2 linked regions of the Mytilus edulis genome follow. The protein of the gene in region 2 purifies or fractionates together with the protein of the main gene of each other region. This does not show direct contact. Links are inferred from orthologs where the notes say so. Each region holds a gene or a part of one and is shown on either strand. Other genes may lie near its edges.

Region 1 (8,485 bases), on a different chromosome or scaffold from region 2:
AGTCCAACTACAATATTTTGAACACTGTAAACAACAAAATACAAATTGTGAGTTTGCCTTTGTCATTTTTAGTGTGGTATTTGGTAAGAAAGTTCTTGTTAAACAAGTTAGGATGAAAAGAAAACTTTGGCCTTCAACAAAAACTGGTTCATTGGAATTGTTATATATGATGCACATAAAAGGGAGGTTAAGTACAAGTATTATTTCTTGAGGAACCAAAAACAATTGATAATCTCAGGCTTGCACGTTTCAAACTTTTCATCTTTTTCTTGATAGATTGCTTATTATATTTCAAGTCAATATGTTAAATATATCAAAATTTGTGACCAGGCATAAGCACTGTTGTGTTAATTGTTCCCATGTTCCCAAAGGGTTATAAACATAAACGCAATAACTTTTCAATACACATTTAGTCCCACCAATACAAGTTAAAGATATTTCAAATTCAATTTTCTTTGCTGTTTTGAGAGTTGCATGCAAAAAACACCATTCTTCAATCCCTCAAATCCCTCTTTTCCATTAGCATGATTAGGCCATACAACTTATATTTTTTGCTGGATAGTAAGCATTCAACTATATAATTCATATGATTAGTATTAGTACAAATGTATATTTTAGCATAAGTCGATACTAATAATAAATTTGATATTCACCATATAATTATGCAATTTAATGTTAAATAAATTTACGTGAATTGCCTCTCCCTCTGTTTCCATGGTGACTGTAGTAACGACCTCCACCACGACCTCTCCACCAGCCTCGACCTCTCCATCCTCTCCCTCCCTGCCAGCTACCAGCACTGGAGGTACTTGTTTGGCTCATCCTGATTGTACTTTATACCTTACAAAATAGTTAATTTAATAAAGACACATTATTCTTTCTTGTACATGTACATCATTGTACATTTATACATTCAGAAATAATAATTCAAATGACAAACACACATATAATAGGATTCTGACCCCATCAATCTTTTTTTTGAAAATATTTATATTGACAGTTATATATATTTTTCCAAGAATTATAAAGTTAGCTAGTTTACCCACTGGCTACATCTTTCTGTTTTAAAATGCCAAAAAATAAATAGACAACCATTGCATCTCTTTGGATTTTTATGTAGTATACATGACCATTATAGCTTTTCATCTTTAATATACTTTTGCAGATGAATAAAGTTATAAAGAGTAGTATATGTCTCGAGACAGCATTTTTTTTTCTGGAGACAGCATCCCCATAAAACACAAAAAAGACATTTAAAGGTTATCTATTATTTAAGGGTATCTATGAAGTGTGACAAGGATTCATTTGTCTTCACATAACCTTTGTATTGAAACTGGTCGTTATGTTGGTACTAATCATTTGCTAATAGAAATAAAACAAATTGTATTTTTTGTGATTTAGGAGTAATAGAGGATGAATTTCATTTCATCCTTCAATGTAGTAGATATACTGATTTGCGAAAAAAATATGTAAAAAAATATTACTGGTCTAGGCCATCAACTTTTAAATTAATAGAATTATTGTCAGGTGAAAACACAAAACAGCTTTGTAATTTAGGAAAGTATATACATTTCTCTTTTAAATTAAGAAACAGTTTATTGTAATAAAAGATATTTTGTATTGATGAAACTTCTGACGTCACCTATTGTTTATTATGCATATTGTTTATATTGTTTGTAATATGCCATATGTATAAACTGTACATGTACCCGGTACTTGATTATACTGATGAGCTGTAAGGCTCAAAGTTAATAAAGAATTTGAATTTAAGTATGAAGTATGGAACAATCACTGACCTAGATCATTATTAATGCATGACCTATGACAATGCAAATTATGACTAATTAGTGCATGTTGTCAGATGGCTTGGACTATTCTGTCATAATTATTTAAGTGCTGACAGACTTCACCTCACAGTAGGAAAGGTCACTTAAATTACAATTCAATTCTTAGCAGATAGTAAATCAATTTTACAAAAAAAGAAATGGAAACATAAGAAAAACACTATTTGAAAAGAGATGCATTTGTGTGATTTTTCATTTTAATCATTAAGTCCAAAAATGCTTAATAATGAAATAAAGAAGACTATACCTACTAAAGGAGCTATCATAATGGACAATTTCTGATCAGGTAATTTTTTTTATAAATTGTATTTAATAATAAACAAGTTCTTTTCTTCTCTATGTTCAATACACACTTTAATGAATCCTTAGAGTACATACCCTCTAACTTTTGAAAATCTTAAAAAGGTTTTTAGTGTGTAAACTTCTTTTTAAGAGTAACTGCTTACTTACTTGCATGCATATTTTTATTTTATAAATTCATTATCATATCTCTTCTTTGTTTCTTATGTTATACTGACATACCTGTCAACTTGTGACGATGAAAATGCAGGTCATGACCTGCATTGAAGAATCAAATCTCAGGTCATAACGCGTACAAACTTTTTCGAGCTGAATTTCAGTATTTATTGTACATTTTTCTTATAATTTAAATCAAAGTTACCAAAACATCAATGCATGTTCACTTGGTTAAGTAATTTTAAATCTTATTAATTATTGTTTCATTGCACTTTTTAAAGATTTTTATAAATTTGTGTAACACAGTCTTATGTTCTTTACTCATAGTGGTGATGTAATTCAACCTCACACACCAAATACTAGGATATATTTTCCATAAGTAATTCTATGTTTGAAACCAGCTATCAGCCATAAAACAAATCATTAAATTTTCAATTGAAATTAGACTTATAATAAAATATAGTAATATAGTTAAAAGAAGTATAGATGAACAAAATAATTTTCAACTTTTTTTTTTAAATTGTATAAAGATATAAAAATAATGAAAAGTTATATTGCAATATGTATTTGAATTTTATTTTTTTAAGATTTAATCTTTTTCACCCCAAAAACGTAAATATGAGGAATAATTTTGAATGGTGACAAAAAAGGGGAAGTAAATCTAGTTGAAATATGTTTGTAAAACAACTGTGCAATTTATTTACGACCTAAAGCTAAGGTAATTGGTATTAATTAACAGTGTGTTTGACACCAACGCTGTCAAGTGAAGCCATGCACTTAATGGGCAACTTAATTTGACAGTTTACACAGCTAACTTCCTGTTCATGGAAGAATTACGAATTTGCCGGTATTTCAAAGGAATATATTACTTAGAAGATCAATCTCAAGGCTACGAAATACGGGTGAAAACGGGTCATTTTTGGAATTCTCGGGTTATTCAATGACCTGGCAGGTGTCCTGGGTGATCCCTCAGAATTGTGAAAATCTCGGGTCACACCCGCAGAATACGGGTCAGTTGACAGGTATGTACTGATGAAGAGCCATTTATTTATTTCTTCATCATTCTTTTGTTTTCATGATTCTTGGAATAATTAACAATTGACCTGCTAGGAATGATTATGACAACAGATTTAATTGTGTCATACATCATTTTGTAGTTTATTCAATGCATAAGAATTTCAGGGGGGATAGGCACCATTGGAAAATGAAATTGCAACAGTGCAATTTCTCAAAAATTTGAATTGGTACCATGTATTATATGAAGGTACAAATATATCAGCTTCAAATTTCACTTGTTAATCAGAAGATGAAAGTGATGTCACAGGAATGGCAGATTTCTATTAGTTAATCAATGTTTACCAGTGTAGTTGTTTATTTCATTCGACGTCGTAGGAAGGCGTCCCGGACATCATAATTATTTGGACTAGTAATATTAACCAAGCTCTGTGGACGGTAAATTTATAAAATATAATTAATATCCTAAGATCAATTAGACCAAGGATTTGTACTATACAAATCCTTGATCAGACACATATAAGTATTATATGTTTCTCTGGATGGACTTCATTCGCAGCTATAGAAAAGAAAGACCTGTGGTTATATTTCTCTAAACAAATACAAATTTCTAATTCGTGTAAAAATTTCAAGGAAAACATATTTTAGATCATAAATATTGTCTGCCCTTGAAGCATTATACCATGAAACTATCGATATACCATATTACGCTATTTCAAACAGGTTGCAAGGTATTATTCAACTGTTGAGTTCTACTTTCACTTTTGATTATATTTCCCGCGTAATTTGGCCTTTAAAATAAATCCGGGTCATATCGGAAAAAGACTTGTGACAATTACGGATTTGTATGTTAGCGAAATGAGGGCCGGTTTGATGGTGTTTAAAGTAAAGAGGGTTTTTAAAGAATAGGAGTAAATGGCAAAAATATGAAAAAGAGTAAAATTTGGCTGAAAAATAAATAAATAATCTATAATGGGGCGCAAAGTATATATATAAAAGACATCTGTCGACGGGATAAAAAAAAAAAGACAATATATACGGCAAATCCTGTTAGATAATACAAGTTTGAATATGAATAAATTACAGAAAGAAAAAAAAACAGATGATAAAGAAGTTATCTAATTCAAGGATATCTCACTATACATATCCTGGTTTAATTACAGAAAAAAAATACTATAAAACGCATTCTCATTAGAATTTTACAAAATTAGCATTATTTCTAAAGATAACGAAATTTGCCCAAATAAAGTTAAATAAGTTAGACACCACAAGATATCCAGACCATCGTCTATATCCCCAGTGGGAAGAAATGCGAGTGAACTAAATATGCCGGAATATTAATCATCCTTTTATAATTTTAAATGTTCCATTATAATATTTCGATTACCATGTAAAATGTAAAAGGCATTTGGTTTTTAAAATCAGATCAATTTGTGTAAAAGACAAATGATATCAAAGTGTGGTCTCTGGAACACTGATCAGATTTGATAACTTTTTTTGTTAAAGCAGCTAGCCGGTCAAAAGTGTGACTTGGCTTTCTTTTCGGTGCCATTGGGGGGAATAAACTTCTGAAAGTGACTGGCAAAAAAAGAAGCTTCTCTATAGTCTAGAAGTGAGTGTCTTCTTTTCATTTTCATTTTTCAACTAAAAAAATGTTGCCAGTCAGAACTGTGGTGGTTGATAATAACCCATAGGCTAGCTCTCATCAATATTTGTATATTCGGAACCACCAAATATATAAAAAAAGTTGTAATTGGGTTGTAAAAGATACATACAAAGATCTCATGCTTATTCTTATCAGAGACATATGATACAAATGAGTTCTGTTGATATTAATGAAGGCGTCAATTTATTTGATTTCATCTGGTTTACATACGCGGTCTATCATTTAATGGGGGTGTTTTCTTCGACACCTCTTTAGTGTGTACTTGTATGATACCGTTTTAAAAGTTTTTGAATGGTTGATGTATTATATCCCGTTTTCAACCATAGATTTCCACTGCTCGTATTAATACAGTATTAAATTGTTTACGTATAGTATAAATTAACAAATGGTTAACATGCTTGGACATTTCTAGAAGTATATATTTAGTAAAGCTTTACGAGCAAACGAGTGGAGATAGATCTGAACTTCAAATCTCAGATTAATATCTTCCATACTAGCTAAAAGCCGATTATACAAATTTCTAAATAGCCTTAATGTAAGAATAAAACCAGTAGTACATGTGTAAACCAATAACACTTCAATAACATTGTAAATATAATTAAATCGTGACACCCAGAGAACTATGAAGCTTGTACTATTGCAATATGATCATAATATACATGTATTCCTTATCTTTCATGAATATTTAATACGGTTCCATCAGTGACTGAGAGATTCATTAATTTTTCAGTGGGATCCAATAAAAGCCACAACAACCATAACTCTCAATAGTATTGTTACTAAATACAATAAAACTGATGATTATTATAATGACACACTAACTCGTCACTGAACTGGACAGAATAGGAAAACCTTTCAAAGTAAGCATAACTTTAATAGTAAATTTTGTATATTAACTTTTCTTTTTAACTTTTTCTTTTATCTATTTTTTAACTTTTTCTTTTATCTATAATTATGCATCGTTTCAACTACTCTTTGAAAACCGGGAGAGCAAAGTTCCTCCTTTTGTGCCGCGGCATATTATCCAAACCAAGTCCACTAAATAATAACTTACATGATTGAGAAATATGCAGCATATTTAGTTAAAAATTCAGCGCTTATTTTTCCCAGTCACAAAATAAAATAAAGGAACCTAGTCGTTTTAATGACGTTTGTATGTATATTTTAGATTTTTAAAAAGACACCAGACAATTTGTTTCATGAATTCTTGTTAGTTCCGTAAAGAAGAAACATGCCAGCCTTTTATGTTCCAGCCAGTGAAACACCAAAGAAACAACACAAACTCCAACAACAGTACAGCCTTGATGAACGAAAGCTCATGTCCGACATTTTATATGATGATCTGAACAGTAAACGATGTAGGTATGCTTTAATAGAACAATATTTACTGGAAATGACATTGATATATATATTCCATGTTTGCTTTTTAAGGGATAAATATTCGTCATTAATTCTTGAAAACTAGAATCTCACAAATATCTTAACGTGATCAATGGTTGTCTAGATATTTGCATTGTCTCTGCCGGGCAACTTATGACTTCTTTGCTCGATATAGTTTATTGTTTTATAATACTCTGCATCTGTGTTATTCATGTTATCACCATTTAACCAAAGAATACAATTAAAACCGATGACAATGTCTTCTCATGTGGAACTTTTTTCCCGTATTTAATGCCTCACTGTAATGTAATGAAAGTGGAAGAACTGTAGTACACATACAGTTGTTTTGTTTTGTCAATAACTTATAGGGATGTTGTCATCAGGACCATTCCAGAGCATCTGAGTTTATCGAGTTTCTTTGTGGGATTCGTGTTTTGCTTATTTCTTCAGTTTTCTGCACATCTGTTATTTGTGGATACATTTTTTTCCATTCCGTTTGTTCCTATTGAGCACGGAATTGTCTGTTATCTTTAACTTGTGTTTTTATTGCACCTTTGGAACCTTTTGAATTTATTTGTGATCGTTTGTGTGTTTTGTTTGTTTGTGTTAGATATATATTTCAGCATTTATTTCTCAATTCCAGTGTGCTATTGCTATATGTACATATTTCTACTTTGATGACAAACTTCCTTTCTTCTATCCAGCTACAGTGAAGTTTGACAGAGATGAAAGGCGTATAATAGCAGAAATCGCTCGACAGAAAGATTTGGAATCCAAAGGTATTGTTTTTGTTTTGATTATAGGCAAAAATAAACATTTCAATGTTGCAATCAAGGAAAGGAGCTCTTTCATAGATAAAACCAACAAATAAACACAATAAACTATTATATCAAATAATTCAATCATGAATATACCCGTAAAAAACTTCGCGACCTTCTTTACGAGTGAGGACTTAGGTATATTAAGTTAGAAATCTTCAAAAACAATACACAAGTGAACAGTACATAAAACATATTAATGACATGCACTATATCTATGAAGCATACTTGTCAGTACTTATTTCTTATTCCCGTTGGAAGTGGCACCTCTTGCTTACAACATTTTTAAAAGTAAACCATTATAGGTCAAAGTACGGTCTTTAACACCGGAGCCGTGGCTCACACCAAACTGCAAGCTATGAAGGGTTCCAAAAATGACATGTGTAAAACCATTTCAACGGGGAATACCAATGTTCTAATATATATTAAAGACGAGAAACGAGAAATAACATAAACGGTACCAATTTTCCTGCACCAGTACAGATGCGCATTTCGACAATAAATGTCTCTTCAGTGATGCTGATGGCCAAAATATTTGAAATCCAAAGCCTATATAAAAGATGAAGAGCTATAATCCAAAAGGTCCAAAAAGTATAATCAAATCCATGAAAGGAATCAGAGCTTTGCGTGAGGGAGATACCAGAAACACTTACTATGAACCACATCAACAAACGACAACTACTGAACATCAGATTCATGACTTAGGACAGGTGCAAACAAATGCAGCGGGTTTAAAATGTTACTTTGAGAACCCCAAGAAGTTAAGTTTTAACTAATGGAGAAAACCTCTTTAAACGAAAATTATTAATATACTTATTTACTTCATTTTAATAATTTCAGTTGAACAGTGTAAACAATTTGAAGAAAAACGTCATCAAAATCTGGCAAAGCGAGACGAAATAGAGGCGGAGAAGAAAGCTCGTGCTCAAGAGAAATTAAGACGGACACAGTCAACAACCAAACCTGATCTTGTATCGGACACAGTGAAAAAATATGAAACAAAACGTTCTGAAGTGCTAGATAGAATTCAAAAAAAGGAACAGGAGAGAAAAATGAAATTAGATAACGCAATGAATAGGGAAAAACCTAACTCTTCTACCTCTGTTACCAAAAAATATGACGAGAAGAGGGCAGAAGTTCTGGAACGGATTCAAAAGAAACAAGAAGAAACCAAACTAAAATACGAACAAAAAATAAACAAAGTGGTTCCAGATAAATCTGCCATGATTCCGGACATAGCAAAAACTTATGACAATCGAAGGGCTGAAGTCTTGGAAAGATTAAAACAAAGCGAAGACGAGAAGAAA
Region 2 (8,952 bases):
TTGAAATAGCTTATCACCAATTGGATAATTTAGTCATTTACAATGAAAAATATTATTGAGAATCAGATTATCTGGAGCTGTACTTTTCAAATACAATAACCCTTTCTACTATAAATACATATACATCATGACTTCACACCTACTGAACTTTTCATGCTATATACTTATTTATAAAAAATAAATGTGTGCATGCACAATTCTAATATTATGTTTGAAATTTCAACCTCCTTAACTAAACAAACTGAAGTCAAACGATTGACCTCCTTAAACTAATGTGCCACAGGCAAAAATATTTTACATCAAACTTGCATGTACCCCAATCAGGTCAATAGATTTAAACACATTAACTTACCTCCAACGAACGACATAAGAAACTTTTAACTTATCCCAACTTAGGGAAAAAGACTAAACCCCTCATTTACTTACCCAACTCAGGGCATAGTTGGTTTGCATCTTACTGCTGAAGTATTCTTTAACACCATTATCATTTTGTTTGTTTTCTGAAAGTATACAAAATCCAGTCTTCATAGGATAAATTTAGTGTTTCCTACAGGTGGTTTTGGCGTGTAATGGCGCCCTGCCGCGATTTCTCGACGCCCTGCCCTTTTTGGGAAAAAAAATTGGCGCCCTGCCCTAATTTTGTCGAAATTCCTGACGCCATGCCTTTATCGTCGTAATTAACAACCGGTACTGAAAGACATATATTATGAATACCGCTCGAGTTATTTCCCTTCAAAACAAAAGTTCACTAGGTCGCCATTTTGTAATCGATTTCATAATCAGCTGATTAGCAAACTGCAATAGATTGAATAGTGAATACAGATACTAATCACGGGTCCTGATTGTATCCGCCAAGTCCCAGAAACATCGTTTTGCCTAGAAGATTAATGAAAAAACATCGATGTGATGCTTAGATAATTTTTTTTTACAGCTGATAGATTTCTAATTTACATAATTTACATTGTTTGCATGGTTGAACAAGCCAATGAACGGCGATCATGAGACATTTGTCAAATTGAAAAGTAAAAATTCTTTGCAAACTATTTTTTAAATACAAATGCTTGACTGTACCTTAAATGAAATGAATAAAAATCCGAACTAAATTATTAAAAGCAGAATAATCCAGAAAATAAATGAATTCCTTGATCAAATGTTTTCTTTTGGTTTACAAACATGTCACATGATCATTTTAGGCGGGAAAAATACTTGGGAAAACACCTAAGTAACAGACAACTATGTCTGGCTATTTATAGACATTTAAAATAAACAGCTGATATATGGTAGTGCCATGAAAGTAGTAAAACTTGTTGTATCTATATTAATTTAATTTGGAAAAGGGTGTAGAGGGGAAGGGGTTAATTTGTAAAGTTATTTTTTTTTTGTAATTTAATAAATTTTGGTTACTAAAAATGACCCTGGATATCAGGGAATGTGTCAACCTGTTTTTAGGGAAAACAAGGAGGATTTGTCAATGACAATTGATATGACCAAAGCAATATTTTTATATACATGTATATGACATAGTGCTTTCTTGTTTTTAAAGAACTGATTTTGTTTTTAATTGTGTTTATTGTTTTAAATATTTCATATATATATGTTTTACACACTTTTTCTTGTTTAACAATTTGTTTTAATGATTGATTACAGATGTATATGTCCTTTTTATAGTATTAAACAAGTATGTTTTAAATGAATCCATTTTATAGAAATTGCCTGTTTATGTTAAGTAAGTGCCCTAAAATTGTTGTCCATCGCGCTCAATGTGCCCTCTGAGCTAACAATTACCCTGCCCTTTTTAAAAGCTGCAGGAAACACTAAAATTGTTACATGTACATGTTAATACATTGTAGAAGTAAATAAAAGATATATCATGTATATAATTATGTTGTTTTAACCCTTTAATTTTAGACATATACTATTATGATTCAGGAATGTTTTCAATAAATGAAAGGAAAGATGTGATGTACTTTATGATCAAACAACCCAACTCAATTGATTTTTTTACTACATTTGTACTAACATAAAGAAGTCTACATCCAAAATATTTTCTATGTTGAGAAAAAAAACCACAAAACTTTCTGTACATATATACACATGCATGGTATGATCTCTGTATTGAAGGCTTTATTTTGACCTATAAGTTTGTGAACCCAAGCTCTGTGTTGAAGGCTGAACTTTGACCAATAATTGTTAACTTGTATTTTAAACATGTGACATAGATCTATAGAGAAATGTCTTATTGACACATCTTAATTGTGTTAGGCAGACACAAATACACCCAGTCATCATGTTCAACCACAAGACCAAGTTTGTAAAATTCTTTATTATTGTCTGACTTCTATATACATGTATTTGCAGAAAAAAATCTTAAATTTTTATTTTTTTTTAATTTATATTTTTTTCCCTTGCCGATGATGTTACCAGAAATTTTTATGCATAATGGTAAAATGTACTCTCTCTTTTAAACATTAAACTAGAGGCTCTTAAGAGCCTGTGTTGCTCACCTTGGTCTATGTGCATATTAATTAAACTAAAGACACAGATGGATTAATGACAAAATTGTGTTTTGGTAATGGTGATGTGTTTGTAGATCTTACTTTACTGAACATTCTTGCTACTTACAATTATCTCTATCTATAATGAACATGACCCATTAGCATGATTAGTTACAGAGGAAATTATTTTGTTAAAATTTACAAAAATTTACAAAATTTATGAAAATTGACTGTAAAGGGCAATAACTCTTCAAGGGGTCAACTGACCATTTTGGTCAAGCTGACTTATTTGTAGATCTTACTTTGCTGAACATTATTGCTGTTTACAGTTTATCTCTATCTGTAATAATATTCAAGATAACCAAAAACAGCAAAATTTCCTTAAAATTGCCAATTCAGTGGCAGCAACCCAACAACCAGTTGTCTGATTCGTCTTAAAATTTCAGAGCAGATAGATCTGGACTTTATAAACAATTTGATCCATGTCAGATTTGCTCTAAATGCTTTGGTTTCAGAGTTATAAGCCAAATCTATATTTTACCCCCTATGTTTTATTTTTAGCCATGGCGGCTATCTTGGTTGGTTGGCCAGGTCACCACACACATTTGTTAAACTATATATCCCAAGGATGATTGTGGCAAAGTTTGGTTAAATTTGTAGTTTTAGAGGAAAAGATTTTAGTAAAAGTTAATGACGACAGACGCCAAGTGATAAAAAAAATTGACGGATTTTGACGAATTACATTTAATTTTCTAAATAATAACAGTAAAGATAATTATTTGAGACCTCTGACTTATCACAATTAGGATATTTCAACAAATCACATGACATTTTTAACCAATTTGACAGTAACGGTAGCTGAAAATAACAGTTTGCAGCTTGATGATAAATTAAGGGCATTATTTCCTACCCTCTTTATAAATGCGAAGACAGTATATTACCCTATAAGGAGCACATACAAGACAACTGCACATCATTACAACATTTCCAACAAAAGAAGCTTTTAATTATAAAGTGAGCCTTTAGGAGTTATGTGTCCAGTTAATACAAATAAAGCACATGTATACCTGTAAACAAGGACGTATATATTAGTTATACGTCCTTGCTGTAAATTATATGAATCAAAACTCATCAGGTATAATTTATATAAAAAAAAATACGTTGTCAATATCAGCGAATAATTGATTTACCAATAATGTTTTGAATTATAGCCAAAGGGTTATTTATCCAATCATCACCAATACCAGGCATTTTTTCTATAGTAGCAATCAACAAAATACTGAGGGACAGGAACAATGTGATGAGAAATGGCGGGAAATTAAAAGGACATTCTAGAACATAAACAGCAAACCCGTAATCAACGAAATTCTTTGACAACAATGATATCATAAATTGATCGTTCTTTTTTATTTTCAATATTTAACTTTTTTTTTTAAATCATAAACTTGTTACAAGTATACGATTGTATTCTAAAACATGATATATTCGAGAATCAAAATATAAATAATGATTTGTTTTCTTCACTCGGAACTTCTCGGCTGGTTCCATCCAACATATGCGAGATGCGCAGTGACCCGAATGTTTCGGTCTCACTAATCAGCGACAATCAGAATTCTAGCGACAAGAAGCGACAAAGAGAATTATTTTAGCGACAAGAACCGATAAGAAACTAGTAAGCGAAAAAATATCTTTTTTAATCAAAATTACTTATTCCAAATAAATATTAAAAAAGAATATGCAAAAGAAAACAATTTTAGCAACAAGAAAGCTAACATATTTGATAGAAAAAAATTGAAACATTTATTTACATGATATATTTGATAATCCCATTCTAAAGCATTGAAAGCCTCATTTATAACCGTTGACATGTTCCCCTACGACTATGTTCATTGACTTTGGTACTAAACAAAACAAAATAGGCACTGGCTACGGTTACATGGAAATGTAACAATAATAAAAATGTTATTGTTACATTGGAGACTAATTGCCGGAATGCAAAGTTGGGCGAGGAACCGATTAATTACAAATGTAACAATAATTACTGAGGCTACGGTTAAATTACATTATTGTTACATGAAAAACAGCAATGTACGCTAGATTGATTAAACTTAAATCTTCTATAGTTGTATTGCTTCATTCTTTCATATGTACTAAACAATACTAGTCTTGTAATTTAATACTAATAAATAATCAAATATTATTATTCAACAAATGGTGTACAACTTGAATAGTTTTACTACGTATTTATGGTTTTGATGTTCTTAAAGATACTACTCAAGATTAGGAGTGTAACTGTCAAAGGCGAAAAATATAGTTCAATGGTTTCACTTTTTTAAAGTATTTAACTGCACACCTCTTATTACTGTCATTATACTTTGGGCCAATTTTGTTTATGGTGAAAAAAATAAAACTTGGGATGCGTTTTAAACCAAACTGAAACAATATCAAGACAGACATTTCATACAGCTTTATAACTTGACGCAAATTGATAATCAAAAGCAAAGTTTGCTAACTGTAACGTACATTGCTTTTTTCATGTAACAATAACGCAATGTATTAACCGTAGCCTCAATAATTATTGTTAAATTCGTAATTAAACAGGTCCTTACCCAACCATGCATTCCGGCATTAAGTCCGAGGCTCCAATGTAACAATAATATTTTTATTATTGTTACATTTCCATGTAACCGTAGCCAGTGCCAACAAAATATGCATTTATATATTATAGTGCACAACAAAATAATTTATATGTTGTGTTTCTCAAGTTTTATTCTCGCTATTTTAAATTCATAGTACGTTTTCACAAGCAGGGAATTTAAAATATTTAAAGGAATCACTAATTCCAGAGAAATATGTTTGTTAGTTAATACATAATGTCAGTTTATATATAAAAAAAAATCAACCAAATACTGTTCATTTATAATGAAGACTTCAGAATAAAGTAAATGTTAGTTATTCGCCGGTTGTCATGTTCATGGTGAATGAAAAAAAAAGTTAAAAATCATTCAATAAGTAATTTCAAGACCTTCGAAGGAATACACCACTAAAACAAGTGCCGTGTTACACTTTACATGTAGCATATGTTTTTCTCCTAGTTTATCCTGAAATTCGTTTGTTCAATCAATATATTTAAATATTGGATAAAAGTATTGAATAATAACAATTGTATATTACATGGTTGTTACAATTATTTATATGATATGTGTTTAAAGAATCCAAATGACAAAAATAACTGGGTTTGTAATATACGAAAGGAATTGTTCCATCTTAGTTTAAATGATTTGTGGTATTCACAAAATTCTTTATGTAAAGATCATATTATTGTTATTAAACAGAGACTTTGTGGTATTGTCAAACAAGAGTTTGATGCTACTTTAGAAAGTTCATCAAAATGTTTTTTGAAATGTCCTGTCAGCACTAGTTCGATGGTGAAATCGTTGTGAAATACCGGCTTTCTTGATTCTTCTAACCAAGTAAATATGATATGCTCTTTATAGGAGTAGCTGTTATGACGTTTTAGTTTAAAATTGTACTACTGAAGCACATATTAGCTATTACTAGTTGTTAGCTATATATTTACAGTTGATATTGTAGTGGGTGAGTATCTTTTGCTTGTTTGTTGATTATTGAAAAGTGTAAAATCAGACTTGAAGAATGACTATTTTCAATTTAAAAGAATATATTTATGCAAGAAATAAGTTATGGATAAACGTCAATTAGCACATAAGACAACAATTTTTCCTCAAATTTGTTGTCAATTATATATAATATTTGTACAAGAACAGGAGGATCTATAGGTATATGTATGCCTATAAGCATTACGCATTAATAGGTCAATTTCTGCTACCATTAATTTAGGCTAGTGTTAAATTGGTTAATATATATTTTACTGTTTATTCTTCAAAATCTCCTTATCATTATTCATCAGCGAGGGTAAATCTATGTCCCATTGACACATTCTCCATTTATTTATTTATGATACAACATCAATATGAAAACCATGACATGTCTTTCACGACAGGAGCAGTAGTTTTTTTTGCTATAACTGTAAACCAGGCAATACATGTTTCTCGGGTAACAGTTATATTAAAAAACAAAACAAATATTAATAGAATATTATTTGTAAATTTTCTGTTTCAGAAATAGAAAATGTCGTCAACTGACAGAAACAAACTCCTAATGGGAGACAACAAGTCTATGTTATCAGCTAGTTCATCATTAATGTCGAAATGGTCACTAAAGACAGAATTGACATCACAAACTGGTATGTTTTTATTTTACAATATAAATTTAAACAGCATGAATTTTTATATGAATATTTTGATGATTAAAAGTAGATGTGACTTGTGAGATAAAAGTCAATAATACAGAAACCTGACAACACAAAAACTCAGTAAGATACATAGTTGTCAACACAGTCTTTAACCATAGTCTAGTGTTTATACATTGATTCTTTACGCTATGAATTGAGCAGTATAATGCCAAGAGTCTAGAAAGCTTTGTGCATATCAAACTAAGAATAACCAAGATCAGCCAATAAATTTTCTAGCACACAAGATCATTAAAATTTATTTGAAGGCAACCAATTACTGTTTTGACAATGTTCCTAATTTTGTGCACATGTATTATTATAAAGATAATGTTTTTTGTATAGATATATGATATCCAATTTTTCTTTGCAGTCATATTTGTGTAAACCCATACCCGATATTTATAAAAAGTGTATTGTTAAATTTAGATTAATTTTGTCATCACATAATCTAGCTATAGAGAAGGGAAGGTATTCCAATGTTAATAGAAACCTTAGAACCTGTACATTGTGTATTGATGATATTGAGGATGAAATGCATTTTATTTTATCATGTCCATTATATTCTAATCTGCGTGAATGTTTGATTAAACCATATTATTGGCGTAAGCCATCTGTTTATAAACTGTTACAATTATCAAGCACTACTAATGTAAAAGACTTGTGCAACTTGGGAAAATATATATTTAGAGCACTGAAGCTCAGAAATGACTGTTTTTAGTAAAATGTTTTGTAATTCATTTGTTACAAATATTTGCTATTTGGAATTACATTTATATGTATTTATATTTTGTGTATTTAAAACTTCTGTCTGTTTTGTCATGATCGTATATTTAAATAAAAAATTGTAATATATATTTAGTATATATTGATTATGCATGTACCTATATGTTGTAAAACATTTGGTTAATAAAGAATTGAATTGAATCCAGCTGTCATTTTGTGGTGATTATCTATAATTCGTTGATTCGTGACCTACAACCAAATAAATGATAATCACAAAACTTATTACAAATAAACCTTAATATTTGCGTTTTTTTCTTCTGTAATGAACATTTTGTTTTATCCACCAAGCAAGGTCATGATTTATTGTGATATGACGTGTGAGGTACAGCCAACTATATTAGAGTGTTACCTATGGCTTGGAAATATATTGGGAGCCATTAAACATTTGAGATGGCTTTCTGCTGGGAACAGTATATCAATATATATATGTTCTTGCTTTCTGCAACTGTTAGCAAGTCAGGAAACTGACTTTTCATTGGTTGTCTATTAAATGTGATACCTTCACGTATTTTGTTATTTTTATAGCTTTGAGTATAGATATAGTAAAGCATATAATTACCATTATTATGATAAAATAACATTGAACAGCAACTATTTTTAACGATTTTTTCTTGTTCAAATTGTAAAAGCCTTTATAGCTTCAGGGATGCTGTGCCCCCCTGACCCACTGCCTCGGTATAAACAGAAGGCAAGTTATGCCACTGGCAATAAAACAAGGGACACGCGTCGCGCCTCGTTAATCTCATTTGATGTTCTACATTGTGTATTACCTTAGGGTGAAGCCACACTAGCTAACGTTGGTCCTATCAGGAAAAATGAATTGAACAGTTAGAAAGGAAACAATATTTCATGTTTTTGTTTCAATAAATCCTTCAAAGGAAAGTGAAAAATCTTTGTTTATAAATATTTTCATTTTATAGCGTGTGCATTTCCTTTGCTCTTACAAATATTTAATTTCTTCATCTATCAATATAATAATAAAAAAAATCAATTTATTTCTGCCCGTATATCAAAAAAGACTAAATGCATATTTTCTTTATATTTAATAAAAAAAATGTTTTCTTGTAGCTAAATAGCTTCTTGTCGCTAAAATTATTCTTCTTGACGCTTCTTGTCGCTTCTTGACGCTTTTTGTCACTAATTAGTGAGACCCGAATGTTTTGTTTGGACTACGACTTTTGGTTTAGGAAAATGTCCTGTCAGCACTAGTTCGATGGTGAAATCGTTGTGAAATACCGGCTTTCTTGATTCTTCTAACCAAGTAAATATGATATGCTCTTTATAGGAGTAGCTGTTATGACGTTTTAGTTTAAAATTGTACTACTGAAGCACATATTAGCTATTACTAGTTGTTAGCTACAT

The links. The genes of interacting proteins can lie anywhere in the genome.
Region 1: the proteins of mini-chromosome maintenance complex-binding protein-like (region 2) and DNA helicase MCM8-like purify together in Homo sapiens (co-immunoprecipitation; 3 studies listed by BioGRID and IntAct, with this or other methods). This does not show direct contact. The link is inferred for Mytilus edulis from reciprocal best matches to the Homo sapiens genes MCMBP and MCM8.

The regions. Positions count from the first base shown.
Region 1 is NC_092350.1:18,911,038-18,919,522, reverse strand, and holds the start of DNA helicase MCM8-like, read right to left. Parts: upstream 4,123-8,485; 5' UTR 4,016-4,122; intron 841-4,015; 5' UTR 823-840; coding exon 690-822; intron 1-689. Other genes in the region: uncharacterized protein, read left to right, coding at 6,212-6,338, 7,065-7,139, 8,019-8,485. UniProt on the Homo sapiens protein: Component of the MCM8-MCM9 complex, a complex involved in the repair of double-stranded DNA breaks (DBSs) and DNA interstrand cross-links (ICLs) by homologous recombination (HR).
Region 2 is NC_092347.1:70,576,131-70,585,082, forward strand, and holds the start of mini-chromosome maintenance complex-binding protein-like, read right to left. Parts: upstream 3,838-8,952; 5' UTR 3,747-3,837; coding exon 3,686-3,746; intron 501-3,685; coding exon 427-500; intron 1-426. UniProt on the Homo sapiens protein: Associated component of the MCM complex that acts as a regulator of DNA replication.